7 linked regions of the Oryza sativa Japonica Group genome follow. The main gene of each other region encodes a partner of the protein of the gene in region 7 in a complex. Links are inferred from orthologs where the notes say so. Each region holds a gene or a part of one and is shown on either strand. Other genes may lie near its edges.

The links.
Region 1: mediator of RNA polymerase II transcription subunit 15a (region 7) and mediator of RNA polymerase II transcription subunit 27 share a complex: the UniProt entries of both Arabidopsis thaliana proteins name them as parts of the mediator complex. The link is inferred for Oryza sativa Japonica Group from reciprocal best matches to the Arabidopsis thaliana genes NRB4 and AT3G09180.
Region 2: mediator of RNA polymerase II transcription subunit 15a (region 7) and probable mediator of RNA polymerase II transcription subunit 26b share a complex: the UniProt entries of both Arabidopsis thaliana proteins name them as parts of the mediator complex. The link is inferred for Oryza sativa Japonica Group from reciprocal best matches to the Arabidopsis thaliana genes NRB4 and AT5G05140.
Region 3: mediator of RNA polymerase II transcription subunit 15a (region 7) and mediator of RNA polymerase II transcription subunit 30 share a complex: the UniProt entries of both Arabidopsis thaliana proteins name them as parts of the mediator complex. The link is inferred for Oryza sativa Japonica Group from reciprocal best matches to the Arabidopsis thaliana genes NRB4 and AT5G63480.
Region 4: mediator of RNA polymerase II transcription subunit 15a (region 7) and mediator of RNA polymerase II transcription subunit 33A share a complex: the UniProt entries of both Arabidopsis thaliana proteins name them as parts of the mediator complex. The link is inferred for Oryza sativa Japonica Group from reciprocal best matches to the Arabidopsis thaliana genes NRB4 and RFR1.
Region 5: mediator of RNA polymerase II transcription subunit 15a (region 7) and mediator of RNA polymerase II transcription subunit 23 share a complex: the UniProt entries of both Arabidopsis thaliana proteins name them as parts of the mediator complex. The link is inferred for Oryza sativa Japonica Group from reciprocal best matches to the Arabidopsis thaliana genes NRB4 and AT1G23230.
Region 6: mediator of RNA polymerase II transcription subunit 15a (region 7) and mediator of RNA polymerase II transcription subunit 18 share a complex: the UniProt entries of both Arabidopsis thaliana proteins name them as parts of the mediator complex. The link is inferred for Oryza sativa Japonica Group from reciprocal best matches to the Arabidopsis thaliana genes NRB4 and AT2G22370.

What each region holds. Positions count from the first base shown.
Region 1 is NC_089035.1:8,936,322-8,940,964, forward strand, and holds the start of mediator of RNA polymerase II transcription subunit 27, read left to right. Parts: upstream 1-1,630; 5' UTR 1,631-1,655; coding exon 1,656-1,984; intron 1,985-3,757; coding exon 3,758-3,919; intron 3,920-4,643. Other genes in the region: pentatricopeptide repeat-containing protein At5g57250, mitochondrial, read right to left, coding at 1-1,438. UniProt on the Arabidopsis thaliana protein: Component of the Mediator complex, a coactivator involved in the regulated transcription of nearly all RNA polymerase II-dependent genes.
Region 2 is NC_089039.1:20,346,977-20,351,580, forward strand, and holds the start of probable mediator of RNA polymerase II transcription subunit 26b, read right to left. Parts: upstream 3,085-4,604; 5' UTR 2,260-3,084; coding exon 1,669-2,259; intron 1,569-1,668; coding exon 1,500-1,568; intron 1,411-1,499; coding exon 1,328-1,410; intron 1,077-1,327; coding exon 1,021-1,076; intron 926-1,020; coding exon 801-925; intron 696-800; coding exon 668-695; intron 587-667; coding exon 207-586; intron 123-206; coding exon 1-122. UniProt on the Arabidopsis thaliana protein: Component of the Mediator complex, a coactivator involved in the regulated transcription of nearly all RNA polymerase II-dependent genes.
Region 3 is NC_089038.1:19,469,003-19,473,521, forward strand, and holds the start of mediator of RNA polymerase II transcription subunit 30, read right to left. Parts: upstream 3,112-4,519; 5' UTR 3,042-3,111; coding exon 2,625-3,041; intron 2,196-2,624; coding exon 2,118-2,195; intron 442-2,117; coding exon 343-441; 3' UTR 1-342. UniProt on the Arabidopsis thaliana protein: Component of the Mediator complex, a coactivator involved in the regulated transcription of nearly all RNA polymerase II-dependent genes.
Region 4 is NC_089041.1:6,111,273-6,115,348, reverse strand, and holds the start of mediator of RNA polymerase II transcription subunit 33A, read right to left. Parts: upstream 2,801-4,076; 5' UTR 2,678-2,800; coding exon 2,403-2,677; intron 1,748-2,402; coding exon 1,637-1,747; intron 1,101-1,636; coding exon 756-1,100; intron 6-755; coding exon 1-5. UniProt on the Arabidopsis thaliana protein: Component of the Mediator complex, a coactivator involved in the regulated transcription of nearly all RNA polymerase II-dependent genes.
Region 5 is NC_089036.1:31,041,677-31,045,715, forward strand, and holds part of mediator of RNA polymerase II transcription subunit 23, read right to left. Parts: intron 3,842-4,039; coding exon 3,624-3,841; intron 3,274-3,623; coding exon 3,060-3,273; intron 2,757-3,059; coding exon 2,470-2,756; intron 2,059-2,469; coding exon 1,975-2,058; intron 1,766-1,974; coding exon 1,671-1,765; intron 1,469-1,670; coding exon 1,306-1,468; intron 1,230-1,305; coding exon 984-1,229; intron 464-983; coding exon 296-463; intron 219-295; coding exon 105-218; intron 1-104. UniProt on the Arabidopsis thaliana protein: Component of the Mediator complex, a coactivator involved in the regulated transcription of nearly all RNA polymerase II-dependent genes.
Region 6 is NC_089036.1:5,237,884-5,242,537, forward strand, and holds mediator of RNA polymerase II transcription subunit 18, read left to right. Parts: upstream 1-1,477; 5' UTR 1,478-1,670; intron 1,671-1,751; 5' UTR 1,752-1,781; coding exon 1,782-1,817; intron 1,818-2,981; coding exon 2,982-3,081; intron 3,082-3,152; coding exon 3,153-3,210; intron 3,211-3,288; coding exon 3,289-3,645; intron 3,646-3,737; coding exon 3,738-3,849; 3' UTR 3,850-4,037; downstream 4,038-4,654. Other genes in the region: brefeldin A-inhibited guanine nucleotide-exchange protein 1, read right to left, coding at 212-1,197. UniProt on the Arabidopsis thaliana protein: Component of the Mediator complex, a coactivator involved in the regulated transcription of nearly all RNA polymerase II-dependent genes.
Region 7 is NC_089042.1:28,443,559-28,447,597, forward strand, and holds part of mediator of RNA polymerase II transcription subunit 15a, read right to left. Parts: intron 3,706-4,039; coding exon 2,260-3,705; intron 1,457-2,259; coding exon 1,115-1,456; intron 862-1,114; coding exon 667-861; intron 591-666; coding exon 502-590; intron 387-501; coding exon 185-386; 3' UTR 1-184. UniProt on the Arabidopsis thaliana protein: Component of the Mediator complex, a coactivator involved in the regulated transcription of nearly all RNA polymerase II-dependent genes.

The sequences.
Region 1 (4,643 bases), on a different chromosome or scaffold from region 7:
CAATATTAGGCCTTAATCTCATCTCGGGCATTCTAAGAAACAAGCTGCAGGCATCATCCACCTTCTTAATCATAAATAATGCTTTGATAAGTACATTGCATGTGACAACATCAATTGTAACACCGCTGCTCTCAAGCCTACCTTTTATTGCCATTACACCAGTTGCATCTTCTACCTTAATGTGACCATGTAACAGCGTGCTATATGTGAAGTTATCAGCAGCAATACCTTCATATATTTCAACAGCCTTCTTGGTGTGACCAACCTTACATAGACCATTTATTACTGAATTGTATGTTACGATTCCAATCTTTATCCCCTTTTTATCCATCTCTTCAAGCAAAGAGAAAGCCCTATCCAAATATCCCTTTTTGCACAAATTGTCAATCAAAATTGAGTAAACATATTCATCCACCACCACTCCTGTCTGTTCCAGTTTCCTCACTATAGAAAAAGCATCATCCAACCTGTTTCTCTTGCAGAAACCACCAATCAATGATGTATAAGTGATCAAATTCGGCTTAGCATCCCTTCGGTTCATCTCATCCAAGAATCCCATCACTTTTTCCACACTACGTTCTCTGCAAAGTCCATCAATAACAGTAGTATAACTAACTACATCAGCTGCAATGCCCTTATCTAACATCACCCGATGCTCACGGAGCCCTTTCATCAATAACCCGCTACTCATGTATCCATGAACCAAGCTGCCATATAAAACAGCATCACCAACCAACCCCTTCCCTTCCATCTCCCTTACCAATTGTGCTGCCTCAGTAGTTCTCCCTACACGGCCAAGCACATCGACAAAAGCGGTTAATGTGATCAAGCCTGGCTCAAATCCATTGAACTCTCTCCTCACCCTCCTATAGAATTCCAGCCCATCCCCAGCCTTCCCGACCTTGGAGAAGCCTGAAATGATCACGCTGCAAACACGATCATCCACCTGACACCCCGCTGCAGCCATTACGTCGAACACCTTGAGCGCGGTCTCCATGTCACCGCGGGCACACAGCATCGTCAGGGCCACACGATACGTGGACGGAGAAAACACGAGCCCGCACTCCTCTACGCCGGCGGAGAGCACCTCCAGCGCGCGGCGAGCATCGCCGCGCACCGCGCAGGCCCGGCGGAGCAGCGCGTCCCAGAGGCGGCGCGCGGAGGAGGTTGCCGGGCCGGCGAGCGCGAGGCGCGCTGCCGCGTCGCGCGGACGGGAAGAATCTAGAAGCGCCGAGGCGACCAGGAGGTGGGTGCGCGCGGTGGGGCGCACGGAGTTGGCGACCGCCTGCGAGGCGAGCGCGCCGACGAGGCGGTGCCTCCGCCGGCGGAGGAGCGCCGCCAGTAGGATGTCCACGCGGCGCGGCGTGACGGCCCTTCCGAGCTTGACCAGCGACGGGAGCGGCGGTGGTGGTCGGGGCTCGCCGCCGGCGAGCGGCATGGCGGAGGGTGGTGGTGGTGGCGCCGCCGCCGCGTGGGAAGCGAAGCGCAAACGTTCGAAACGTTGGAAGCCGATGGCGTGGGCCGAATTTGGATACGAGCTTGTTTGGATCTGGGCCTGAATAGATATGGGCTTGTATTGGTTCTGGGCCTGTTTGGATATGGGCTTATTTAGGTGAGGCGTTTCGAGTCGGAAGCGAGAAGGGGAGAAGAGGAAGATGCAGCAAGCGCAGGCGTCGGCGGTGGTGGCCGCGCCGGTGGCGGCGGCGGCGGCGGCGGCGGCGGGGGCGACGGGGCACCAGCACGAGGGGGCGAGGGGTGACGCGCCGCCGAAGCAGGTGGCGCAGGCGATGGAGCGGCTGGGGCGGGCGGGGCGGCTCATCGCGGACATCCGGCTGGGCGCGGACCGTCTGCTCGAGGCGCTCTTCGTCGCCGGCGACGCGCCCCCGCACAGCGCCCCGCAGCACGTTGAGAAGACCGCGCTCGCCGTCGCCCAGGAGGAGGCCGCCATGCACCGCCACTTCGACGACCTCCGCGCGCTCGGGAGGTAAACCCATCTCCGCCCCGTGCCCCCACACTCTCCGATTCAGAAGTTTTTCATCGATTCCTTAACCTTTGACTGTTACGTCGCAAAATACAACTAATTCCCTCCGAGAAGAACCATTCCCGTCATGATTCCACGGTTGCAGTCTCAAAATGAAAAAGGAACATTCCCGTCATGATACCACGGTTGCAGTCTCAAAATGAAAAAGAAATATTCCCGTCATGATACCACGGTTGCAGTCTCAAGAAGAAAAAGGAAAACCCTTGTCTAGATAATTTCTGGAAATTGGTGGCTGGGATATTGATTTAACTTCTTTGGATTGTATGATTGGACTTTTTTTAAAGTAATAATCTCCTTCCCAGTTTAGGCATGGCAGCACATTTTTTTTCCACTAAATTGTTCTGTAATAATGGTTAATCACCATAAACTGATGCCACACTCTTCTTTGGTGTTATCCAATTGCTTGTATCTTGTGAAACCCTTCTACCTATGAAACCTTGCTACGAGAGATGCACGGACAGGCTTAACTGCTCAACTTTGGTATATGAACTTTAGCATTCTAGAATATTGGCTGGGTGCCTGGGTCTATCAGATTGGGATGCATTTCTGGAACTCGTGTTCCTTGGCTTGTAATAGAGCAATATTTAACCTTAATTGAACAGCTTCAGCTTGAACTTGTTTTGGGGCTGTTTGGATCAGGGACTAAAATTTTAGTCCCGGTCACATCAGATGTTTAACACTAATTAGAAGTATTAAACGTAGATTAATGAAAAAATCCATTTCATAACCTTGAATTAATTCGCGAGACAAATCTATTGAGCCTAATTAATCCATGATTAGCCTATGTGATGCTACAGTACACATGTGCTAATTATGGATTAATTAGGTTTAAAAAAATTGTCTCGCGAATTAGCTCTCATTTATGCAATTAATTTTATTATTAGTCTACGTTAAATACTTCTAATTAGTATCCAAACATGCGATGTGACAGGGACTAAAATTTAGTCCCTGGATCCAAACACCACCTTAGTGCCACTCAGGGCTCGAACTAGTTTTAGTATCACTCGTGGATGGTAAGGATGTAGGGTAGGTGCTCACTCTATAATATTGTCTCAGCAGAGCAGTTATGTGTTGGGTACAATTGTTTACATGTGACCACTTGACCAGTCGTTTGTTGAAGAAGTCTGCAGGCATTTGGAAAATCCATGTTTCATGGCAACATGGTACTATTCTGTCTGATGAATAAAATGTCCAAGCAATATGAACTGCTTGTTAAACGATGGTTTTTGAGTCTTTCTGCAACCTGAAGTTGCTAGATAAACGGAAGATGAAATTTGCAGGTGATATAGTTATGATTTTAGACAGAATAGTTAGTTTGTGAAAATCCTGAAGTTAGGAGTACTAGATAAGCTTAAGCCATGTGACTGAGATTTTTTTAAGTCAAAGGATATTAGGAGCCATCTTCAATAAAGTTAGGTATGTGAACAGGATGGATTCACTCGATTTTGCTGGTGCTTTCTTATTGTTCTTTCACAGTATTCTTGTTATAGTGTTTGGGTTAGTTGTGCTTGTTGCTATTCATGATGTTTTTACTTTGTGATGAACCATCAATCATTGCTTACACAGTTCTCCTGGTAAGTTCCAATTATTTTTATTGAACTTCAAGTTTCAAGTTCCACTATTTCTTCATAAGTGTTGGCCTAGCCAACTGAAAGTAAAGATCTAGTTTTTAAACTGTAGCCTAATAAATATCTTGTATCCATTGCTGTTAGGAAGGCAATTGGAAGAGTCTGGAGTTCTAAATGGAGCCCTTAAAGCCAGAGGCAATTCATGGGGCTTGCACATGCCACTTGTTTGTCCAGATGGTGCAGTTGTGGCATATGCTTGGAAGCGTCAGCTGGCTGGTCAGGCTGGTGCATCAGCTGTTGACAGAACTAGGTAATTTCATTACCATCATTGTTGTGTTGTATGTTTGCTGCCACAATATGATGTGCTTATTTGTCTTATTTATATTCTGTTGATGTGTGAGATTTCATCAACCGTGCATTGCAGAATGCAGATTAAATATTTATACCATGTTATTTCTTCCTGCGATATACGATAATTTTCTTGGCCGATAAATTTGTACTGTTGTTTCCCTCTTTCCCCTTTAAATTTGTACTGTTGTTTCCCTCTTTCCCCTTTTTCCCTTATTTCTCCTTTTTCCCTCTTTTGTTTCTTCTTTTGCACTTTGCTTTCTCTAATCCTTCTACTATGATAATTACATTCTTCCAAGGTGTGGAGTGCTTTTGTAGGAATTGAAGTATTAGATCAGTTCTTGTTTTCGTTGCATCCATATTTTATTTTGATTTTACACAGAATGCATCGGAAATATTCCAACGCCCTTCATTCATGTGCTTCTTTAGATGTATGTACTTATGTTGAAGGCTTCAAGCCTTCGGATCATCCCCTAGTCCCCATGACAAGATACCCGAAGTTTATTACTATTTACAAAAATGGGTTACTATACTAAACTTAACAGCTATCAGCCACATGCGATTGTACCTAGTGGCCTGGCCTCACCTTTTTTAAATTTAAAATTTAAAATGTATGCCGCTGCTTAATGCACAAATTATTTGGCTTGTGAACAGGCAAGGACATATGGAATTTTTATTATCCATTT
Region 2 (4,604 bases), on a different chromosome or scaffold from region 7:
CGCTCCTGGAGCCTCCTCTTTGCTGCTTCCAGCCTACTATTGCTTTCCAAACCATCATAGATCTTTGGCTTTGCCGACTCTAGCTTGACTCCTGCTGAAGGTTGTGCAGGAAGCCTCGATTTCTAGAACCAAAGTTCAGATATTTAAGTCATGATGTTCTGAGGATTATCATACTATTAGGCCTTAGTAATAGCATATATACTTACATCCACATGGCTCGCTGCAGGTTTTCTTTCAACAGCAACCTGCTCTCGAGCCAGTCTAGATTTCATCTCAACAAAGGGCTTCTGCTGAGGAGCTGCCCTTAATGGTCTCCCAGGTCCAGAATCAGAACTCAAGGGCTTAGATTGCTTGTGAAGCATGGCCTGCTGTTTGACTTGCAAACTTGAATTTTGAGGGGTTTGTGGGTTAGCCTGCCTCATTGATGGCTCTTGCCTTGCCAATTCCGGCCTCCTGGATTGAACTTTTTCAACAGCTCCCATGTTACGGGGAGGCTCTTGCTTTGTCAAAGCTGGATGGCTTGTAGGCCTCCTGCCATAATTTTCTCTCTTATTTCCAAGGCTCCCATCATTGTTATGTCTCAAGTCTGTCATAAAATGTATAACTTGAATTATTATAGTGCACAGAAAAAAAAGGGAAACTATGTAATTTGAGTTGTTGTACTTACTTCCATCTTCATCCATTTCATCAAAGAACTTTAGGTCAGGAAGATGAAGCAGAAAGAAAAACAACAATGCAAAGTTAGAATTGTGTTCTGGACCAAAACAATCCAGATACCAGGAACAAACAAAAATTAGTACCTCAGAGAGTTGAATAGCAGTAGTCTGGGTTGCAAAGAACGCCCCTTCATCCAGAGGTGGAGAAGGAAGCCCTTCATCATCAGCATCATCGACAACAGATGTTTTTGAAGAGCCCGGGGAGTTGTCTACAGATCAAAAGATCCATTACATGTTAAGAGGTGAACATTCACTTACAAATTGATGACTCATACGCGATATGAAACAAAATAACTTTTATTACCTGTAAGGGCAACATTAGTGGTGCTGACCCACTCATCAACCAAAATTTTCCAACCTCTGAAAAAAAAATGTTTTAAGACGTCAACAATGTTTCCAAAATTGGTTAATAACCACACTACAAATAAGGTAAATAATTCACTCAAGTAGTACAAAGACTGGAGAATACAGAAGCTAAATCAGTAGACTCGTATCATGTTTTCAGAAACTTATAGGTACAGTAGAGTATCAATTTGCTTCAGCAAGTTCTCTAAATTAAAAGCTAGATCAGCCCTAGAGAATGAAATTTAGTGCAAGCATATTGAACTTACTCAATGAGAGTGCGCACAAGGTGACGAATTTGCTGCGAGTTGTGCTTCCGCAGCCCATTAACAGCCCTCCCAATCTCAGTAGCCTACAACAAACAACATCGGAGATTAGCAAACCAAACAGAACCACTATGCGTCACTCCGCATAGCTCATATGCGCTATCCAACACAGTACCTTCAGCGTGGAAACGGACAATTGCATCAGCTGCAGCCTCCTCAGTGATTCGAACAAAGTAGCATCCGACTGCGAAAACCACAGTTGAGATCAAATGTTAAGTCCCTGTTGAGGAATGGCACAACTCTTACTCATGGAAGAACTGAAAGCTGGGAATAGTTCATCATACATGATCTTCCTTGTGCAAGAAGAGGTCCTTGATGCGGAGAACCTCGCCGACGACCTGTGACTCCTCGTCGATCTCGTTGGTGAGTGCCTCAAGCTCCACAGCCTCGGGGTCCAGCTCTTGTTCTTCGTCCTCTTCAGCCGGCGCCGCCTCCTGCTCCTCCTCTTCCTCCTCGTCGTCATCATCGTAGTTGTGACCGTAGTTGCTCGCCGCGGCGCGGCGGAGGCGCTCGTCGTCGGAGTCAGAGTCAGAGTCGTCATCGACGTCGTCGCGGCGGCCGCCGCCGCCGCCGAGGGCGCCGTTGCTGCTGCTGTCCACCTTGCTCTGCTTCTCGGGGACGCGGCGCACGCTGCCCTTGTCCTCCTCCACGGGGGTGGCCGGGGTCGGGGTGGCGGCGCTGCCGCACCCGTGGTGGCAGGGCGGGGCGCGCGGCGCGGTGAAGAGGATCTCGCAGATGCGGTCGCGGCGGCGCAGGAGCTCCTGCGGCGCGTCGGCGGCGGCGACGAGGATGGCGTTCTCGATCACGTCGCAGATTCCGGCGGAGCCGGCCGCCCCGCGGAGGAGCTCGCGCCACCGATCCAGCCGGTCGGCCATCGCCGCCGCGGCCACCCGAGATCGGGCTCCCCCCACCTCCACCTCCACCCCCACGACTCCGATGGCTCCCCTGGCACCACCAAGAATCGATGCCCTCTCTCGATCACCTCCTCCTCCTCCTCCTCACAATCTTGAAATTTCTTTTTCCCCTTATCAGATTACGTTGCACCAAAAGAATCTAATCCAACCCGATCGCGAATCAGATGCCCCCCACCGAGGGAATCCCCCAACCGGGAAAGCGAAATTCTCCCGAGACAGCGAAAAATCAATCTAACGAACACCGCTGCCTCTCCTCAACGCCAAGAACGAATCAATCAAGAAGAGAAAACCCCAAAAAAAAAAAACAAATCAATCCTCACACCACCCAAACCCAATCTCCCCTCCCTTCCTTTGCTTCACCCCCACGTCCACGTTACTTGACGATTTCAACCCAACAAACAAAACAGCTCCTAACCAAATCTTATCTGTGCCGTCGCCGCCGCAGGAGGAGGAAGACGACGACGACGAGGGGGAGAGGGAATGCGGGGAGGGGGGTTGGATAGGGACGCGGCGGATGGCGAGGCACACGCAACGCAAAAACGAGAGCCCACGAGAACTACGCAAGCTCGACTCTACCAAACAACAACAACTACTCCTCCTCCTAATTCCCCCGCACGCACACCACCACCACCACCATGGCCTCCTAGTGGTAACAACAAATCTCGCGTCTCCCTTTCCCAACTCCTTCCGTTCGTCTCGTTCTCTCTCTCGCGCAACGGAGGTCGCAGCTTTTCTCGGTCTAGGACTTTCCGGGGGGGCCCTTTTTTTTACCGGGTTTGGGGACACAGCCACACAGGGCGAGGTCACTACGGTTTTGGAGAGGGAGGCGGCCTCGTGGCTGTTTCTCGGCTTTGACCCTGTCGAGTTGTTGGTGGGATGCAGGTCCTCTCATGCAGTAGGCTCCCTGACATGTGAGCCCTATAGCCCCTCGGGCCCACATATTAGTGAGCAGTACGGCACATGCAGTACTGGAGAGGATCTCAACTGTTGTTGGTGGGAGTGGGACTAGTACTACTCTTTCCTGTAGTGTTTGGTTGGTAATAGTAGCATTCGTTTTTTGTTTATTGGGCTAATGATTCCCGTTTGATATCCACTTAATTCAAGTTTAGTTTTCAAACTTGGGTAGGTGAGCATCATCTACCATAATATCACTGTTATTATATAATAGGATCATCCTCTTATTTGTTTCATATATAAGTGTCTATAGTATGTGAACCAGTTGTATGCACGTACCCACCTCCATCCCAAAAGAAAAACTCAACTTACGAAGGATTGTCCATTTTTAGATGAATAGAGTACTCTCTCAATTCTATAAAAGACTAAATTAGTACGAAATATGATATATTTTAATACTATAAATCTGAATAGACGTTCAACACTATGTTATTTTTTTTATGGAACCAAGAAAATACGTGCATGCAACCGTAGCCGCCGTAGGCCACTCAAATTTTAAAAAGTAAACTTGGATTGTATCTATATAAATATATTTGTGGTATTAGAATGTGTCACGTTTCGGTAATAGGGTGGTTTTTTTATGGAATGGAGAATGTGCTTTAGGAGTACTATTAATTGTTGAGGCCCAATGGACTATTTTTGGCATCATTTTCGAAACATGGTGCGAGGAAATAGTATTGGATTAGTAAATGCCAATCGATGGTTTGATATAGTATAGCACAGTAGTACACCGTAGGATCAAAGAAATATTTATGCTCTGTATAGCTTCTTCTTTTTTGAATAGAAAAAGAATGGAGTACTTTTAGCATCCTTTTCAAAACAAGGTGCTAATGTAGTAGCGAAATCTTGGATTAGTAAATGGCGATCAAGATTGATTAGCAATATACGCTGTATCATCAAAGAAAATATTTAGGCGGCAAATACTCCTTTCTATTTATAAAAAACTGAGCTATCTATTAACAGTGAAATTTGATAATCGACAAAGGCGTCATCGGCTTAGAATCATTATCGGCTGTAGCATCTCGGAATCAGCCGATGAGAGTTATCAAGTCACCAATAGTCGAATTCCTGCTATATTCGGTTAAGGAAATCAATCTACTAAAGGAAGCTTATCTCTAAGTGACCGAGTTTAAAGAGGATGCGGCATGGCAGTTTATCTATTAATTAGGAATAGTTTGTTAGTTTCCTTTTTATCTTTAGAAAAGTGTGTTTAGTGTCCGATAAGGACTTTATATTTTCCTTTTATCTTTAGGTCTGTGTACACTATCATTAGTAGAGTAGAGTACTCTATGTTTATTAGTGTAAAATTCCTAACAAGTAATCAACCGTTTCATTTAATCAGGTGATAGTTA
Region 3 (4,519 bases), on a different chromosome or scaffold from region 7:
CATTGCTTGTGAGGACACAAATATCATCATGCTCGACAAAGGAAAAAGTGTACAGAGGTCATGGTTGCTCAAAGAGTATACAGAAGTCTTGGAAATGAAAGCAAGGCCAAATTGGTGGGAAAATATACACCAGATGTTTGTTTCAGTTACTAGCTACTTCGTGTTTATCACTACTCATAGTACACTTTCTGAATACTTGAAAGAAAAATCATTACAATATTGTATTTGCAAACTGATTGTATCCCTTCAGATTTCTCTCTCAAGGTCAGCTGATACAATTTTGCATTAACATACTTCTAGCTATGATTTTTGGATTCCTAAAGGATAAATGCCGATGAGTTTTCACACTGAGCAAGGACTCTGCCACATTGATATGTCCGATATTAAATCATGGAGTTGGTCGATAAGGAGCTTTACATGCTTGTTTTTGCTTTCAATTTCCTGCAGTAAACATCCTGTATTAGACTGGTTTACGGTACCAGAGAACAGTATGCCACATTACTAGGTTGAAACAAAAAATGTATTATATATGTCAAAAGCGTGAGGACTCAAAACTTCCACAGACCATGATACCACGGGCATATATAGAAATCTGAACTAGGACACATGGGATCAGCTAATTGAGATTGTACTGACCAGTGTATGTTTAAAATGAAATGCTTTGAACTTTTTAGGAACAAACTATGTAATCGAGGCATTAGAGAACACTGTTTGCTACATAGTTATTAGAACTAGACCAGACCAGTGGTCCGATCAGAAAAAAAGGGAACCAGGGCGTTGGCTGGTCCAGTCCAGCTAAAAGATCGTTGAGCAAACAGACCGGCAAAAACCCATTGAACCGGGCGGTTTTCTGCAGAACCAGACAAAAACCGAAGGTGGTTCGACTGCTGGAGGGTGTCACGTGGAGTTAGAGAAAATAGGAAAAAACCTGCTGAACTGAAGATCGAACCAAGACCTCCTTGCTTCCACGGAGAGTCTCAGCCGGCTATGTCACATGTTGTTCTAGTATTCTAACACACATCTATTTGAACCGCTTTAAACCGGCGGTTTGACTGGTCCGACCAATAAACCAGTGAACCGAGTACCCTAACAGTTCGATCACCGGTCCGGTCTTAATAACTATGGTTTGCTACACTTCAAACATAGGAGTACATGAAAATCACTGATCTCAATAAATCATACAAATGGAACTGAATAAGCCACAAATCCATTTTTCTATACACATTTATACACATCAAGGAGAATAATCTGTATTTATGCTATAATGATCTAGCATAGATAAGGAGTAGTTGAGACTTACAAGGCCATTACAGCCAACAGCCCTCCAAAGGATGAAAAGGATTTGCTAAATAGTCCAGAATCCAATTAGCATCAAAGGTGGATTTGCAAAAACTTACTCCCTCTGTCCCAAAATAACAAACCTAGTAACAGACCCCTATCCAGATTCCTAGTATTAGGGTGTGTCACATTCCATACTATGTTTATTTATTTTGGGACGGAGGGAGTAAGTTCTAAACTAGCAGGCAAATCCAAGTATGCAAACAATAATGACATGCAGTATCCAGTGCAGAAAAAACAATGATAAGATAACAACTTAACAAGCATGAATATTGCCAGGAAAGATCAAGATGGAACGCTTTTTTGACGAGTTCAACAGAATGAACATGACTATCCAAAACACTACAAGCAACACAGTATCACAGCTTGCCAAACTAGATCCTGGCTATCTAAAATGGTTTCAGGTAAAAATTGGGGATTACACTCTTCTCAGGACTTTTTGAATTAAAATGATTGAAGCATAAAAGGAACATATATATATATATATATATATATATATATATATATATATATATATATATATATATATATATATATATATATATATATATATATATATATATATATATATATATATATATATATATATATATATATATATATATATATATATATACACACACACACACACACACACATTATGTTCAAAACAGGTTGTTTGGGAAATATTTGGGATTGACATGGCTAAATAAGCACCAGTTACCAACTGGTTCAGGGAAAAATTCTGAATACAGCAAAATGATATTGATTATATTGCTAGAACATTCCCAAGATAGTACCTTTCTCAAAGCAGATGCATGTTCTTCCAATCTCTCAATCTCAGCTTGATCAGCTTTGTGTTCTGTCGATCCCATCTCCTACGAAGAAAACCACAACATCATTACAAAGAAGTAAACTGTTATGAGGTTTCTCCATAGCACCATATTTTGCACATCAGGATTACACTTACTGCTAAAAATAGAATCATATAAAACTACTATTTTTGTCTCATGAACATTGAACACTAAAAGCTCATGTTGATTGAAACATATATATAGTCCACATCCATGTAGTCCGAACCTACATCACAACATCCCTTACATTCCCTTACATTGGTATCAATAATAAGAAATTTTCTTTTGCAAAAATTATTTGGCTCCCTTACCTATGTATAAGCACCTAACTTGATATCAACAAAGAGTGCAATACGTTTCACAATTTCCACTAGACGATCACTAGAAACACGCATTTCGTGGTTGCATACATACTACGGGAGCATGCAATGTCGGGTAAATTCGTGTGCTGACCTGAGCACAGGACGACACGGCGGCGATGGACGTGCGGAGCGCCGCCATGGCGACCTTGTACCGGTGCCTGGCCTCGTCGAGCGACCCGCCGGAGCCCGGCGCGCCCCCGGGCCCTCCCCCGGCGGCGTCGGCGGCGTCGGAGTCCGCGGAGTGCAGCGGCGGCGGCGGCGGAGGGAGACCGCCGTGGTGGTGGTGGTGCTGGTGGTGGTGGTGGTGGTTGTTGCCGTGGTGCTGGAGTCCGCCGGCGCCGCCCGCCGCGGCGGCGGCGGCGGAGGAGGAGGACCAGAGCGTGGGGTTGCAGAGCTCGTCGTTCATGGAGGAGAGGATCTGGAACGCGGCGGCGATGGTCTCCTCCAGGTGGCGCTGCCCCTCCGCCGCCATCTCCTGCCGCCGCCGCGCCGCCGCCGAGGAGGCCATCGCCGGAACCCTAGCCGATCTGCTCCTCCTCTCGTCGGCGCTGGCTGTGAAGTGAACTAAGCTTAGCTTCAGAGCCCAACATAGTCCAAAAGCCCAAAGGATATGTTGATTTTGGGCCGAAGCTCGAAGCCCAGGCCTGGCCTTATCAGGGCCCTAGTATTTGAGCGGAATAAGTCCAATTTGTCTCCCTCGACTATAGGTCCAATCTGATTCGTTCTCCCTTAATCGCAAACCGTGTATATCGAACCCTCGGCTATTAACACCGGTGAATAAAAAAACTCTTTTTAGTTATTTTGAGGGTGGTTTTCGTTAACGTGGCTCATTGAACTGGTCTAACCGATTAAGTCAGCATGTGGGACCCACATGTCGTCCCCTTCTCTTTCTCCTCATGCTTTTGTTTTTTCTTTTCTTCCCTCTCCTTTCTCCACGCGGTGACGAGCTCAAGCATGAATAGTGTCAGTGACTTAGACGACAAAGCCACCACCGACACAACCAACTAAGCTTGGTTCTGTTGGCAACCTTGTGGAGCAAAGGAGGGAAGGGCCACAGCGGTGATGGAGAGTCGGAGAGGCCCAGTGCTGCCGTAGATGTCCTCTTCATTGTGGGCTCCAACGGTTGCCACACCGAGGCCCCTCACTGATCTGGACAAAGCCGGGTCCCATCAGTGTTTCTCCTTCACAGATCCGAGCCTCAAGCCACTTCCCCTTCTCTCTGTCGCCTCCTCTAATCCGACGTCCTTTTCCCACCTTCACCTCTATCAACGCCTCGGTTAATAAGGCCTAGCAATGGACAAGGATGGTGATTGACCTCGCTGTCATCGAGATCTAAGAGTCCTTCTCCTTTATATGTTGTGGAGCCATACATGGCAATAGTGAGGGAGAGAGAGAGGAGGGTCACGTGCATATCTCTGCATGGCCAAGGGATAGCCACCACCCGTCGGAGGACAAGGGGTAGATGTCGACGAGCTCTTGTAGTCATCATTGCCACCGAGGGGGAGGTCATCCTCGATGGCTCGCTGGAGCACGTCGTCCATGTCGTTGACCTTAATGACAGACTCAAGCTGTAGGCAATGGCGAGCACATGCCCCCTATCCTTGGTGGGCGTGGCAACCTTGTTCCGCTACCGTTCTTGGTGAGGGCAACGAGGCAAATCCAATGAGGCAAGCGAGCTCGATCTTGATGAAGCTTCTCCAGAGATAGGAAATGTCGACATGTGTGTCCTCGATTGCTGGAGTCCAACGTCTCCCGCCCGTCTCTAGCCACCTCTTAGACGACACTTCGTTTGCTCCACCGTACCGAAGAGCGGTGGTCGGTGTCCTCTCCTGATCCCAGGAAGGGGGTGGAATGGGAATTGGGAAGAGTCACCTTCGTCAGATGCTCAGTGGCATCCCTATCGTCTTCCCTTGTTCTACCGACCGCCTTCCCAACTAGAGCTCATCACCATGTAGGGAAAGGATAGGGAAGAAAGAAGATAAAAGT
Region 4 (4,076 bases), on a different chromosome or scaffold from region 7:
ATTGCCTGAATCATCAAGACTCGTTAGTACTGGTGGTAATAATAACAAATTAAAGTAGCATACTTTTTCAAAAAAATAAAAAATAAAAACAGTAAGTGAATTCAGTTGTGGTGTCTTAAGGATGCCCTTGATCCCCACTTTGGAAGTTTAAACGAATGCCTTCTACCAATGTACTGTTATCCCAATAGTTCATTTGTGTACGATTCTAGTACAGTTATGAACACAAACAGCAATATCAGACAATATTGGCATGAGTATATCAGAGCTTGTCCCCCATGGCCAGAGTTTCTATGATTCTATCAGTGATCCTTCTTGGTTATAAAGTAGTAGAGAAAATCATTTGAACATTACAGTTGCAACCAATCAAGCTTGCTTGTTCATACAACCAGTAGTCCTTCTAGAGTACTATTAGTTCACATTTTAGCATTGCGGTCGACAGTTGTTTTATAAAAGTGTACAGCCATTCCATAAATACAATGAATCTGATATATTCCAGAAAAATATTGGCAATACCCTGTATACTCAGAAGACACAGAAGCTTGACTTGAGAACCTTAAGCCAATAGAGAGAATGTTTTCAATTATATGGTGCATATGGAACACAGAGATATTTAAGCCATACATTAACTCACTAAAATAAAATTAAGTTGCTATCAATTGATATAATAACAAAGGGATAAATTCACTGTTTTTAGTGATAGGAAGAAAGAGCTGGAATAACTCAGTAAAGCAGTACATGAAGTTGAAAAGCCATACATGTTTTCGCGTGCCAATGAGAGGATATGAGTAATTACTTTGTCATGAAGAAGATGCCCAATGAGCTCTATAGTTATCACATTATTCATCTTCTGTAACTTGTCAATTTTGTCTATTCTTTGTTCAGAGAAAGTTCCATCAAATGCACTCACATCATCTGATCTAGTTGGCCAATGAGCTTTCTTATCCGGTATCAACTCTAACAGGCCTTCGTCATCTAATGCAGCATCAACCAACTGCCATAACATGCAAAGGGTAAATTCAACAACAAAAACCCCTGGTTCGCATGTTGAAAAGCCAAATATCTTTGAGAGACCAAGGTTATCATCTATTAATTGCATGATCCTGCGGAAATATGAGAAGGTGTCATGAAACTTTGCATTTAGAAGACAACTAAAGGAATGATAAGTTGCAGACAGAATGACAGATACCTACACAAGGCATAAACATAGGATGCTAACAGAACAGACATGTCACAAGAAACAAACTCTTTAAAAACTAACATGAAAGAACTATATGCGAGTTGAAAACATATAAAGTGACACCTTAACCAATTCAACCGAAAATATTATGTATCACTGCAGAACTGGCCCTTTCAACCAGGTGAAATTCTTCCTTTGCAAATTGTTGCTCTTTGGAACAGATCTTGATATGTCCAGTATGCAGATGCAATAAGGTGGTCTAGATGTATTGTGGTAGACACCCAAAACTCTAATTGTCAGCATATCGTATTAAAATTCCCGTCTTATATAATTCTTTTGAACAGTACTGAATCGTTCAGAATGATGTACATGTTCCTGTGATGTATATTTCGAAACCTCTGAACATAGAATGCGTGCATTATGAAACTACTGGGAACACCTCATAGAAGGAAACCTCACTTTTTGAAATTCGCCGCTTTCATCTGAAAAGCAAAATTGAATCCATGTCTCCGCAAGAGCTCCAGATAAAGTCTATATGCAGTTGGCCTTGTGAACCGGTGAGGAATGACCCTGAATGGAGAGAAACCATCAACGGAATATTTGCAATCAGTCTTATATTCTATTTTATAGAACATTCCACAGCAGCATAGCAGATATTGAAAATGTGCACGGATTTCGCCAGTTGGTTATACGATTACTGCTGAAAAGCACATTTCAAACTGCACTTGTTATTCCAACTAGCATGATCTAGACTCTAGAGAGAAGAAAAAAAGTGAAAAAAATGAAACAGAGTATTCTGCTGCTATACATGTATTAAATTGATCTGCATTACACTGCACACTCGAGTACTCTACATACACTGCCATTCATATACTTCTCAAATTTATGGGTATTACGCACAGTAAGCACGCCACCATCCCTTTTCCTTCTCAAATTTACAGGGCCCAAAACATCAGATTGTTTATGATCATGTACAGGCCACGCTGTAGAACAACTTGCATTTGTGGTAATCTGGTTGCGAGGGAAATCTCATAGATCGAAACTAGTAGCCTGATCCGATCGCGATTGCGCGGATTCCATCAGACAGTACACCCCACGTGAGCAGGAGCCCATGTCAGATACCACGCACGCAAATTCGTCTCTCCCCGCGCGCGCGCACAAACGCCACTGCGCGCGCGTGGGGGGAGGGCAATGGATGGGAGCGGGGGCGCCGCGCCGTCCGTACCTGGTGGAGAGGATCGCGAGGAGCAGCGCCGGCGACGCGAGGCCCGCGGCGAGCGCTGCCTCGGCGTACTTCCACGCCGCGCCGCCACCGCCATACAGCAGCGCGCGGGCGAGCATCTCGGCGAGCCCGGGCGACCACGGCGCGTCCCCGGCGGCGGCGACGACGGAGGCCACCCGCGCGGCCCACTCCGCGGGCGGGCGCGACTCCGCCTGGGCCGCCTTGGTGTACTCCGCGGCCCAGTCCACCCACGCCGCCGCCGCCGAGGGCGCCGCCATGCTGGACTACTCGCCGCCGCGTGCCGTGGCCAGCCTTCCTCGCCGTCGCCGTCGTCGTCGCCGCAGGCGTCGCGGGGGTGGGGAGTGGAGTGGGAGGGACGAAGCGTGGGATGTTTGTTTGGTGGGAAGGAGGAAGAGAGAGAGAGAGAGAGAGAGATGGTGGTGGTGGTGCGCGTTGGTGTAACCACTTCGCCCACTGCATCACCACCAGGCACCAACACGAGGTGGTCCCAGCCCGCCGGATCCTCTGCTCCGCCTCACCCACCTCATCTATCTTGTGTGCGTGTAGGCGTGTAGCCATACCTATTCTAATTCAAGGAATAAGAGGAGCCTACGCGTCGGGCGACCGATGGGTTTGGAGAAAAATCGGACGCTGACATCAGTATGACGCATGCGTGCAAAACTACTTTAAACTAATTTTTCTCTTAAATTATTTATCCAAATCATGATTTCACCATTAAATTCGTTGCAATTAAATCTTCAAAACAAGATCACACACATAGATATATTCCGATGAAAAAAAATTTAGCTTATTATTGAATTATTTTAAAATGTTGCACGATATTCTACCAAGTATATCGGAATTTTTTCACTAAGAGATCGAAAATGTTTCAATAGTTTAAGTCGGGCGTTGTTTCACCTTATATAAAAATAATGTTTCAGCAAATAGTGAAAGAATGTTTCAGTTCACTGCGACATTAGATCTATACACAGTGGAATATTGTGGGTATAAAAGGTAAAACATTCTTCGTGGAAAAAAATGAAATGTATTCCCTTAATAGAGTGTTTCCAAAATATATAGGTGATTTGTTGCAATGGAGTATGTGATAGAGATAAGTGGCAGGTGGGGGTAGAGACGTGGTGGGGCCCAGGGCAGTGCGCGTCGTGGGAGGAGGGAGCGCCCGATTTTTCTCCCTCCCCTGAGCGACCGATTCCTAGCATTCCCCTAAGGAATATCAAAGTCGTGTTCTTTTAGGATGTGTTCGGTATCTCTGATTCCCAACCGGAACAGTACGCACAGAAAACAGAGCAGTCCATTAGCGCGTGATTAATTAAGTATTAGCTTTTTTTCAAAAATAGATTAATTTATTTTTTAAGTAACTTTTATATAGAAACTTTTTTTAAAAAATACACCGTTTAGAAGTTTGAAAAGCGTGCGCACGGAACACGAGGTAGAGGGGTTGGGAACTCTGAACAAAGAACACAGCAAGCTTTTCCAACTTATACCCTATCATTTTCCATGTGTATACTTTTAGCTAATACTTAATTAATCATGTGTAAATCTACCACTCCATTTAGCGTGTTCGATGAAAGGTTCCCAACCCAGATAAACGAATCAAGCCTAAGCAACCGTTGAGTAGCTACTAGCAGTACCTCATGAAAACATGTAAAATGTAGT
Region 5 (4,039 bases), on a different chromosome or scaffold from region 7:
AGAATGCATATTGGCTACTGAATAAGTGTAGCCCACATAAACAAACAGCCAACAAGAGTGTTTTTAGCACACCGAATAAGAAAAGAAAAAAAAAGGCAGAACACCTGAATTTGATGCCCTCTTTGCAGCTCAAGTTGGATATGATGCAGAAGAACATCAACCATTGTATAAATATTTGCTGTAACTTCTTCGGGTGAAAACTCTCTCAAAACACGGGCCTGCAGTAAGATTAAAAAGACATATATACATAGAGAGAATCTTTTATGTCAATATAATTGCTAATTAGAAATCATACAAGATTTGCACTGTTGATCTCTAGATGTCCGTTCATCAGCATCCAAGCACCAGCACAAAGATATTGACGATGCTGAGGGAAACTGTGACTTAAATATGTCATAACATAGGTTGGCTCAGCAGATGGTGAGAGTAGCTGATTACATTGATTAATAACAGTTGTCTCAGCCTGCAATGGAAGATAAATCATCAAGCATAAAAGGTAAGGAATATTTTGCCCTAGAAAAGCATTTCATTTAATAAGCATGTTATAGCAACTAAAGGACACCAGAAATAGTACTGGCTTGGAAATTCAAGACTTTTCGAGATCTTACAATTTTCTAAAACTAGTCTTGCTATACTGCTAATCTAAGCCTATTTCAAAACAAGACTGCAATTTTTATCTTAGCCAGCTAATACCATTCTAGAGGTGAAAGAATTCATTGCCGTTTGTAATAGTAATAGTACATAAAAAAGTGTAAAATCCATCAGTACATTCTCCATCAATAGACTGCTTATAAAAGAGTGATTACATGGTTTTAAAAAAATCAACTAACAGCAGCATGATTTGGCAACAACTGATACAAAAGAACTATAAACTCCCTAAATTGTTATTCGACGAATGTATATGAACTCCATATAATAGTCAAAAGGAGCATATAAATGGCCAAGACACCAAGTACTCAATCCAAAAGATAAGATAATAGTACCTGCTGCCATGCTTGGATAGCTTGGCCTCTCTTATCCATCCTCCCCATTAAAAAATCTCGAATAAGGGGAGGAAAATATCTTAGAGTCTTCTCTGACCATGTATGCTGGCTCGTTGCCATAATTTGCTCTAATAATGGTTGAAGATGAATTATATGTTCGACCTCAGCAATTCCACGTGTCTTCATGGTGATAGCAAGGCTTATTATCGTTATGCGGTTAAGTGTTTCAGTAAACTCAGTTGGACCCTACATTTACATAAATAAAGAAGTTCACTTTATGCGAATTTAGTAACAGGTGAAATTTCCAGATGAAGCAGGTTACCTTCAATTCTTTTTTCACCAAAAAGAAGTCTCTTAGTGAGAGAATCAAATTCATGCACAAATTTTCTGCTAATCTAAAAAGACGATGCTCTCCACGTTTGACTTTAATCATTGATATTATCTTTGTAACATCATACATCAATGCCTTGCTTTTCCCATGATACCTGAGCAGAAGAAATTCACATAGATGTAAACCAAAAGGTGCACCATAATATAAACAATAAATGGAACAAAACACTAAGATTTTTTCTAAATGATCATCAAACCTTTTTTGCTGAGGTCAGACATTCCAATTGTGGATATGCATGATAAGAAAAGGCTTTCAAGGCAAATAGCAGAAAACAAATATTAAATTACTTAAATTACCTGTATAGAGGAAGTAGCCTGTAATTCAGTATCTCAAGTAGGAGCAGAGACACACCAGATTTGCTCAGGATAGATGGAGATCTTTGTGTTAATGTCTGCAAGGTTTAATAAAACCATAGGAAGACATCAGAGTTTAAAAAGGAATATGAATTGCATGTTATTGAGGAAACTGAATTATGCTTACAATTGCAGAAAGTTAATTTAGAAATCAGAGCAAATGAATAATCAACTGTTAATCACAAGGTAGCATAAAGCCATAAACTTCACATGAATACTACAGATTACAACAGGAGGCAAGACTTACCGTAAAATGCGGGCGGAACAATGAATGAGGGGTTATAAGCAGCAGTCTAACATAGGTTTCCACTATAGCAATGCTAGGAACATTCTACCAAAGAACAGAAGAATTATGTAAGAAAATTAGTGTATGGTAAAGAGAGATGGACATTAGTACGTCAACAGAAGAACATATAGTTGTGATTATATGGGCACTTCTAGCAAAGTCATTCCGAAGATCAAAAATGATGAGCTGGTCATATACCATTAACATATAAAGTTATAAATCATTCATATATTACAGCTAAGTTCATTAACATGAGCTATTATGCCAGGAGATCTTAATAGATAAAAGATAAACATATGAATTGCTTGTCATTTTATTTTTACTCAGGATAGATTGTAACATATTGATTCTGATGTTTTTCAGTAATAATTAAAGGCACATGAGCACTGGTCTCCAAACCATAAAGAGCAGAGTTAAAAAAATAATAATAAAGATAAGCAGCAACAGTGTTTTTACCTGGCCAAGAAATATGGTCTCTTCAAGCTGGAAAGCAAGTTTCAAACATAGATTGATAGACAACCCAGAAAGCAATGACATAGACAGTGGATAAGTTTCACGCATCATTGTCATTCTTTCATTTGGCTGCAAATTGGGTCCCTGAATTAAATCTGCTACTCCTACTGATGTAAACCAGTTCATGACTGCTTCACATGCTGGTTGTGCCATGGTGAAGGAGAGAACCCAAAACATGCCCATCGCCCGCTCATCCAAGCTCGTAAAATCTATCATCCTCTCCCCAGAAGCTATTATTGCAAGGGAAACAGTAACAAAGCTTTATTACAGATACATGAATGGGGACAAAATTGAAAATAACAGTAATGGTTTACAGCCAAATATCTCTCTTTTCAAGAAAATGTATCCACCTCCTGAATTATGAGTTGTGGTGTTACTATGTAGAATTTTCTACACTTAATCAGTCCATATTGCCTACCCAGAATCTACCGGAGAATTTCTTTTCCATGAATTCTAGATCTACCAGGCAATATTTTATATCAAAAGCATAGTGATACTTTCATATTCCATGAATAAGGACAAGTACCAAGTACCTTTTGTCATTTGTCTCCACCACTCATCTATCTGTTTGCCTTTCTGAAGCTGATCACTGTTCAAATGCTCTCTAATTGAAGTGTTGAAAGACCAAATCCGCAAAGTTTGGCTGCTACTTATGAAATCAAGAAGAATACTTTGAGGACTGATATTATTTGGATCAAGGCTCTTGTCTTCTTTGTGGAACGAAATTATCTTCCTTGTAGTTTCAACCTGGTAACAGAAGAAATACCAGAATGGTATATAGAGTTATAGACGGTAAATTAAGACAACCACAAGACATCATGAAAGGAAACATTAGAAGTATTACCAAAAGTTTGTATGTATTTAAAGTTTTATAGCAATTGGATGTGAGATTAGTTTAGCTGAGTTTGTCGATCGCTGTTATTACTTGTTAGTCCTTGCAGTTCCCAAAAGATGAGCACGAAACAAAATAAAGCACTCTGAATATTTTCATGAGGAAATCTTTTTTTGGTACCAAAATCATGTCATCAACTAATCAATTGAATATGATTCACCAAAAGAAAGAGGTGTTTGCAGATGATCTTAGAAAGAGACATCACCTTCCTTGGGTCCGAACTAAGGGTGTTCATCACAATCTCAATGCGGATAATCTGTGCGAGTAACCAAGTGACATGATTACTGCGAAGAATCTGTTGATCACTATTTGTTACTCGAGATGCAAGCTTGTCCACGAAATCAAGAAAATCAATACAGCCACTTTTCATCAGAAAGAAAAAAATGTCAGCAAATAAAAGCCAATCTTGCCAGCACTGAGTCTCTGCAACAGCATAAAAAAGAAAGAATGAATATAGGCAACAGACAGTTACCAAAGACTTGCACATATCTGACAATAATGGTAAGCAAATTTAATTTCTTGAGGTAAAAGTTTCACGTTCTAAAAGAAAAAATAGTGAAAAGGGTGCATCAATAGAACATTTGAAATTTATATTCCCATCAGCTGTCCACTTGAAAAAGG
Region 6 (4,654 bases), on a different chromosome or scaffold from region 7:
TATCCATAATTTCTGAGTTACTACTAGGCAAACATGAAGCCTCCATATCAATTACTATACTGAACATTTTATGCCTTCCTTCCCTTAGTCATTTAAGCCATCTGCATTCTTCTAAATCACTGCAACAACAATATTTATATAGATAGGCAACACAGCAAGTTGAGCTGTTAAAATGCACAGAAGTAAGACAATAATGAGTATCATATCATACTTTTCATTCGTTCTCCAGAATGCCCCAGCATTGTCGATAACCATCTTGAGCAACTCAAGAGACAACACCTTCCCGCGCAGCAGGACCTGATCTTCGGGATTATCCGGCGTCGAGAACTTCATGGACAGCTTGCACAGGTTCTTGAACAGTGTCAACCCATCCTCCCTGATCTTGCTCATGACAACATCCTCCTTCCCATCCGTCTCGGCCGGCTCAACCGGGGACCCCGGCTCAGGGACATCGCTTCCCTCCATCGTCTCGTTTATGAAGCTCTGCGCCGCATGGACAATGCTGGAGTCATTCAGGTTGCGGTCAGACATGTCCATCATGTCGGTGATCGACACCGTGCGCACGCGCACATCCATGGAGTCCACCTCCACGCGCGCGAACACGATCACCAGCACCTGCGCCAGCGCCAGCTTAGCGCAGAGCTGGTTGGCGCCGCTGCTGCTACTGAGGTATATGTTGTAGCAGGTCTTGAGCATCTGGCCGAGCCCTTCCCCGCGGATGGCGACGGAGGGGCACCGCGCGGCGGCCACGAGGACGCGGAGGGTGGAGAGCTCCATGGCGTCGTCGGCGAGCGCGCCGCAGGAGAGCACGGCGGCGAGCAGCTTGGAGGACGGGGAGTCGTCGTCGCCGCCGCCACCGCCGAGATCACCGACGAGGAGGCGGTGGTAGAGCAACTTGGCGACGCAGTCGAGCGCCGGGTCGGCGACCTTGGGGGACGCCGACTCGAGCGCGAGGAGGAGCGCGTGGATGCACGCGTCCGCGGCGGCCGCCGGCAACCCGAGCAGCAGCGACGGCGGCGACGGCGCCGACGCCGACGCGTACGCCGACGAGGAGAGCAGGTCGAGCGCCGCCTTGGCGGCCGCCACGAGGCCCGAGTGCTTCCGCCACGCCGCGTTCTTGATGATCCGGTCCAGCGCAGGGCCCAGCACCCGCCCCGACGGCGACGCGCCGCCGATTGCCCCCGCCGGCGAGGCCATAGTTAGCCGTCCACGCAGACTCTCACGCGCTCTACGCGGTGGTCGTCGCCGTCGCCGTCGCGGCCATTGGATCTGAGACCTCGAGACGAGGAGGAGGTGGAAGAAAATGGGAATTCGAGAGGAAGACGAGACGAGCGCGTGGGGGAGGAAGAGGAAGAGGAGAAGTCAGAGGAAGGGTATGACTGAAATTTCAGATTCTTCCAGGGGCCTAGATGCAAAAACGCCGCGACCCTTCGCGCGGGGGTGAGGCATTTTATCACTTTACCCCCCTCGGTTTCTCGGAATTCTTTCTTCTCGTCTCCATCGCTGCAGGAGGAGGAGGCGGCGGAGGACGGCGAGCGGTCAGTGGCGGAGAGGGGAGTGTTCGGGGACGCGGGGTTTGCGAGGTGGGGGGAGCTCTTGCGCCTCGGATCGGCTCACTTCCCGACGCCTCAGCCCCCGCCGCGCCGCGGATTATTGCTGTTAGGTTAAAGGTGGGGGTGAATTTTTGTTGCTGCGAGGTAGCTGTTCGACGAAATTCCGCAGCGTGGTTTCAGGGTTTGTCTCTCTTGCAGGGATTGTGGTAGCGAGAAGCGGTGGGGTTGATGGAGTGCGTGGTGCAGGGGATCATCGAGACCCAGGTTATTGTTCTTCTTTCTCACTTCGCCAGTAGACTTGTATGAGTGGTGACTGTGTGAGCGGTTGTTGAAGTGAACGGTAGTTTCTTCCGAGAATGAGTGATCTGTAGCTATGCAACGATGCATTTTTGTTCATATGAAACTGATTTGTCTGTTTATGCTGTAAAACATGACCAATTTGAACTTTTACCCGGAAAATCATACATGGCCCGTAACATAAGCCGGAGTGATGGTAGATGTGATGTTCTTCATGGATTCTTGATTTTTGTATGATGGTAGGCCTTTCTGGGAAATCGGTACTAGTCAAGTTTGCTGATCTGACATTTGCGCTCCTTACTTGTATGTTGTATCTAGAATTCTGAATTTTATTTAATTTTTGGCATAAGGTTATTTGGCCTTTCGCTTTGTAGTAACCTTATCCAAAGGAGTTGGAATGTAGAATTTCGACGTTTACTAAATGAACTTTCTATCACTTGATTTAAGATAGCATTTTTGTTGTTGGAGGTGTCAATTGCCTGAAAACAGACCTCTGTAAATGTAATTGTGATAAAACCTTTTGAAAGGTAACACTTAAGCTATCCCAGGTAGCAAATCTATCAACTGCATAGCCCCAATGTCAAATTACATCTCAATAGTCCTACTTAGGAACAAAGTTATTTTTTCACTCCATATAGCATGAAGTAGTATTGGAACTTTATGTCCATAGAGAATTTCTTTTTTCTTGAACGAAACACATCAGGGAATAGAGAATAATAATTCATGCCAGCATTAAGACTTTGTCGTCGATCCATTGTCTCTATATGACCTTTTGTTAGTCTCTTATAGCTTCCTCTTGTCAGCATATCAACACTTCCCTTCAGGATAATAAAAAAAAAGTATACAGTTGATCATGCTGACCACTATATGGTCAACCATGTTTCTCCACTCTGAGGGCACTACTTCTGCCACTTGCAGACTTTTTTTGATTCTCTTTTCAATATGTTGATATGGTTCTATTTTATATACAATTGGAGGAATCATATCACTTATATGGTTTGTAATTTTACAATAAAGGGATTAATTTATATACACATGTCAATGTCTTGTGCTTAGAACACCATTTAACCTTTTTTAGTTTTCATTGCTTTGACATCAGTGTAACTTTTGGTTGATCTTCTTGTTATGCAGCATGTTGATGCTCTTGAGGTTCTTCTCCAGGGCCTCTCTGGTGTCCCAAAAGAACGTGTCAGAGTGCATGAGCTCTGTCTTAAAAGTGGGCCAAATCTAGGTCAGTTTGCAACTTTTTCATTATTCTGATCATATGCCATTGTTACTCATATACATCTTCCAATCATACAGGAGTTGTCCCATCAGAGGTTCGTTTATTGTGTGACTTAGCTCAGTCCACGCCATCCTGGTAACTTTTCTTTCAGCTGCTAAAATTTACATTTTTGTGATATTTGATGATATTCTGAATCCAGTAGTATTCATGTAGGACCATAAGACATGTTGGAGGTGCCATGAGAGGTGCTGGTGCAGAGCAAATCTCAGTCCTTGTGCGGTCAATTGTAGAGAGCAAAGCCAGCAACAATGTATTGCGTTACTTCTACGGTATAGGGTACAAGTTAGATCATGAAGTTCTGAAGGGAGGATTTGCATTTCGTTTCCACCGAGGTGCCCAGATAACTGTGACCGTTACCTCTGTTAGCAAGATGACAAAACTCCATGCTACCAACGAAGCTGTGCCAATCACTCCTGCAATACAGCTAGTGGAAATCACGGCCCCTGCTGCTGCTGACAATTACAACGATGTCGTTTCAGCCGTCACTTCGTTCTGTGAATATCTAGCACCGTAAGTAACTAAGTGTTCCTTAGCTATCTCAAGATTATTACTAGACTGGCATAAACGAATTTTCTCACTTTTGACTGCAAAACACACTGCAGGCTTCTGCATCTCTCTAAACCAGGCAATTCGACTGGAATCGTCCCGACTGCAGGCGCTGCTGCCGCCTCACTCATGTCAAGTGGTGGTGGTGGTGGTGGTAAAACGTTGTGATCGGTCATATGTGTTGGCTGCAATGCCATGATGATCTCCATTGACCATCCCACTTAAAACATTGTTGCCATCTTTAGTTCTGTAACTTTTAGTCAGTAGCACCATGGTTTTTCTTGTAATGACATGCTAAATGCTGCCTACCTTGCTTTGGAGACTGGTAAATGAACACTGATCATTGCTTGCTTTTACTGAAGAGTGGAAACTGAATGCTGGGAAAGCTTGACGATATTGGTGGTAGACTGATAGCTGGAGTTTGTCATGATCCTGACAATATATTTGATGGTAGCTTTGTTTACTTTAATTTAGGTCACATACGTGGTAAGGATCTCATGGTTTGGGACGTTCAATTGCCCAGTAGTTTTTCTCTAGTTAATTAGTGTGCATCAAACTATTTTCTCTAGTTATTATGTAAGTCTAGCAGTCAAGTTACCAGAAATCAGAATACACTGCATGCATTACTTGCATAGTCAACAAAGTATCTCAATGACAACTGATCTTCCTAAAAGTTGCTGCAAAACGAAACAAAGCCGGAGTAACTAGAGAGGAGGGGAGAGAGCTAGGTTGCTGACAACTTGACGAGATCAACTCATCCTGATGCTCAGTGCAGGATGAAGTGCCATCTCCTCCTGCTCTTCCAGCTCCAGCTCCTTTACAGTTTACATGCATCTTCTTCCTCAGATTTCTTTGGGATCCCTATTCCTCATTTGCCTGGTGATTTATGATATGGAAAGCATCGAGTGTACATAGCTGGACCTACACTGTGAATGATAATACCAACATTCTGTTTAGCTAGAATTTCAGTTAA
Region 7 (4,039 bases):
AATAAATAAGTACACACCAGTAGCAATTGCATGTTTGCTAAAATGTTAATTATGGTTACATATATTTATGTGCATATATTTATAGAGCGATGCATTAACCGTTCCAGTTAAGGGCGTGCAAGCGATCGCACAATATCGATGCAAAACGAAGATTGGTGCCAGCAGGACTGAAGAAGAATGGGGATTAAGCACCCACGCAATTTTCCCAACAACCATAGCTCGAACTGAAACTGCCTCCACCAGTCTGTTGAGCATACTCAGCAATTACTTTGCGGGCACACGCGTCCCACGTCCTCGCAATTTCTCTTAGTGACATGGGCTCAGCTAAACCCCGAAGCAATATGCTGAACTTCGACCTCGCTTTGGTCGACAGGTCATCCGAGTTTCTATAGCAGATTCACAAGCACAATGCAACATCCTTAGTTTATTTATGTACAGAGAATCAGGACAGCCTAATATGTAGTACCTGGCGTAGAATCTGATAAAACATTGGATACTGACCTTTGTTCATCTGGGAACTTGTCTAGGAGAACCGGGGAGCACTTAGGGTAGCTAGCGGGGACAAGCACCCTCAATGGCAAAATTGGACTCTGCCACACATTTTTAACATGGAACATCAGCGAACAATAAAAGCCGATACCACAGATCATGCTTTGAGAAGCTTACCATCTGTGCTGATGCAAACATGGACTTCAAGCTGGGGCTAACAGCCACAGCAGTAAATGTGCATTTGATGACTGTCCCTTCTGTCCCTTCTGATGTAGCACCAAAAGACTCAGCATCATCCTCGCAAACATGGAGCTCTGTATCTATGAGCTGTTGGTTTATCTCATGTATTTCCTCCATAAGAGCATGGTTTATCTGCAGGTGCACCAGAGACAAGATAAATAATAAAGGTAGCCAAAAATTTAGAATAGCTCCCGTCAATTTAACTATACTTCCCTTCTCTGGGCCCATATATGTAATGGAAGTCATTGTGGAAACAAAACAGCTGGATAATCATGATATTTTAGTTTATTCATCATGCCACTAAGTTTCATCTATACAAACGATTGTGAAGCTGATCACTGAGGCATATAATGTATTGATCCCTATGAAATAATAAAGAGCATACCTCGGTTTTTTGCCACTTTACACGTGAGGTTGCAGTTGACTGCAATTCAGGGGTACCTATGCTGAATGTTTGCTTCAAACTGTCATTAACACTTCCAGCTGATGACACATTAAGAGGCATAGCACTAGTGTCACGCTTCATTTTCTTTGATGTACCGGTCCCATCATGTGTTATGAAATTCCTGGCTTGCAATCGGCACTTTGTCATAGCAACTAAATCTTCACCAACAGCAGCTCTAGAACCATTACCAGGCGCAGACCCAGCAATCCTGTCAATCATGCTGACAACAGAACCTATGTCGCTTACTGCAGCACTCAAGGACTGGCGTTGTGTTGTCCGCAACTGCCATACAGAACACAAGGGACATGAATCATGCAAGAAAAAAAAAGGGACAGGAAGGTAAATCCTCAATTTCAATCTAAAGGGAGGGTATATGCCTTCTATATGATCAAAATTTGTTTAAGGAAGCTAATTTGAGGGGAATAAAAGGTATTAATGATTTCTTCTCTTTTAGCACAGCAGCAAAACAGGCTATCCGGAAAACATAGCTAGATTCCACAGAGCAATAGTGAAGAGAAATAAATAAAATAGGTCAATGCTAAACCTATCAAGTTCTTCAGATGTCAAGACTCAAAGAGTCAACTTTAAATAAGCAGTAACATGAAATGACCAGGCATGATGACTCCCATGCTTTGCATCCCCTTGACTTCAAAATATTTGTGTACAGATCTAACATGTGTGTTATTTGCATAATCCCTTAGCACACGCATATGTGCATGTGACTGGGATTTTAGCATAGTATCCCTTTTTGACATAATTATCAAGTTCAGAATTTACGATATACTTATCTGAGATCTGCTGCAACCTTTGGGCATCATTTTAGTTATCGTTTGATAAACTAGTTGATTGAAACAGGGTAATGTTTGTATTAACTTTAGCAAGGTAGGTGCACGAGGTTACAAGCAAAAGGCATGGCATATATAACTCCTGAACTAAATATTTTAGCTGAGCCTACTGTGTTCTTTATGCCATAGTTAATTACGCTTTAAAATATACTCAGAATAGCACTGATTAAATAATAAATTTATTTTGCACTACAGAAACGAAGAAAAGACAGTAAATAAAAAGTTGGCAAAGTTACTGACCGCTTTAAGTAAGCGGTCTAAAGGCCTTTCTGCTGCACTTGATTTGGTTAGAACTTGGGTTGGCATGTTAGCCTGATTTCCATCAACACTTGTAAATTCTGCCAACAAGGGTGAGGCCGAGATCCCTGGAGTGTTAACGGCGATTGATTGTGACTGAGGCGCCATGTTTGTTTGCTGATGTGTAGCCTGACCAGTATTAGTAAGTGATGATGATAAATTGGAGAGTGGTTTCTCTGAATCCACTGGTATAGGAGACGGGGCAACAGGTGGCGATGGAGATGGCATATATGGTGAGTTAGCTGACTGCAATGGTGTCCCGGTCTTCACTTGAGACGGCAAGAGATTGTGCTGATCAACCTGAGGAGAATGGTGTGAAATTTGGGGGGATGATGCTTGGAGGTTTTGTGGTGACGAAATTGGGAAAGCACTGCCCTGTTTCATTTGCTGATTATAAAAGTTATTGCGCTGAGCCAAGTGCTGTTGATAAATCCCAGGTTTCATTGCAGCTCCTTGTCTAACCTTCAGCTCGTTTGCATCATTTCCAGAATGATGCTGTGGAACCTGCATCTGTGATTGCTGCTGTTTCTGTAATTGTTGCTGTGCTGGGAGTTGCTGCTGAAGCATTTGTTTTTGCTGGAACTGCTGAAACATTTGACGCTTCATTTGCTGATTCTGCATCATATGATGCTCCTGCTGTTGCTGCTTCAGCTGCTGTAATGAATTTGCGTTGGCTTGCATGGAATTGGCATTAGCCTGCATTGTACCTACTGAGTTGTGAGATAACATGCTACTACTGGCCTGCTGTTGTGCATTCAGTGTACCCTGCATGGGCCCAGTGCTTCCCTGTTGCAAAGCACCACTCATTGAACCATGCTGCAAAGAATTAAAATTGCTTCCTTGAGTAACCTCCAAATTAGAGGTAGCCTGTGGTGCATTTGTGACATTTTGCTGTGTTGCTGGAACACCAAAGTTTGTTGCTGGGGATGCAGGTAAATGTTGGATACCAGCTGCACCTGAGGATTGTAATCCGGTGCTCATACTTGGCATGCTTGCTTGAGGCATCTGATTAGTATGGTTATCATGCTGCTGCAAACCTTGGGAAGGTTGTTGTTGTTGCGGAATGTTAGAGGTAGGACCTTGCCCAGCAGATTGTTGAAATTGTGTCTGCTGGCCTTGCACCCTTGGCCTCTTTTGCGAATTTAGGATACTGATAATTTGCCTCTCGTACGCAGGAATTTTGTCCCTAAGGGCAGGCTGAATGTTGCCCTTGTTCAATTGCAGAACATGCATTGTACGCTCCAACATCAGTTTGAAATTCTTCATCTTTTCATACTGTTCTGTTGGCTTTTGAGGTGGAACCATGTTGTCAACATGCTGTAGCTTCAAAGAGATCTTATTGTACAAATCATTTAATTCAGGAAAATATTGGTCCTTTAAGTTCTTCACCTGTGATCACAAGAAAGAAAAACACAAAAGCTATGAAGGGATGGATACTACAGAAAAGAAACCATTCAGTAAACCAAGGCCTGTTGTTTAACTAACAGATATGGTGCAGGCAAAGATTGTTCGAATAGTTATTACATGCATAGGGAACTTAAAGAAAAAACTATAATAACCAGTAGAAAACATGGTGTTGATTGAACTTGCAAGGTCAAGAGAAAGGGATTACAAACTGCATCATAACCTTATCACATCTAGATACAATATGCTATACAGTCCACATTCACAAAGAATCCTCTATCTTAAAGAAAGCATGCATGTGCATAGTTGTATGAATATC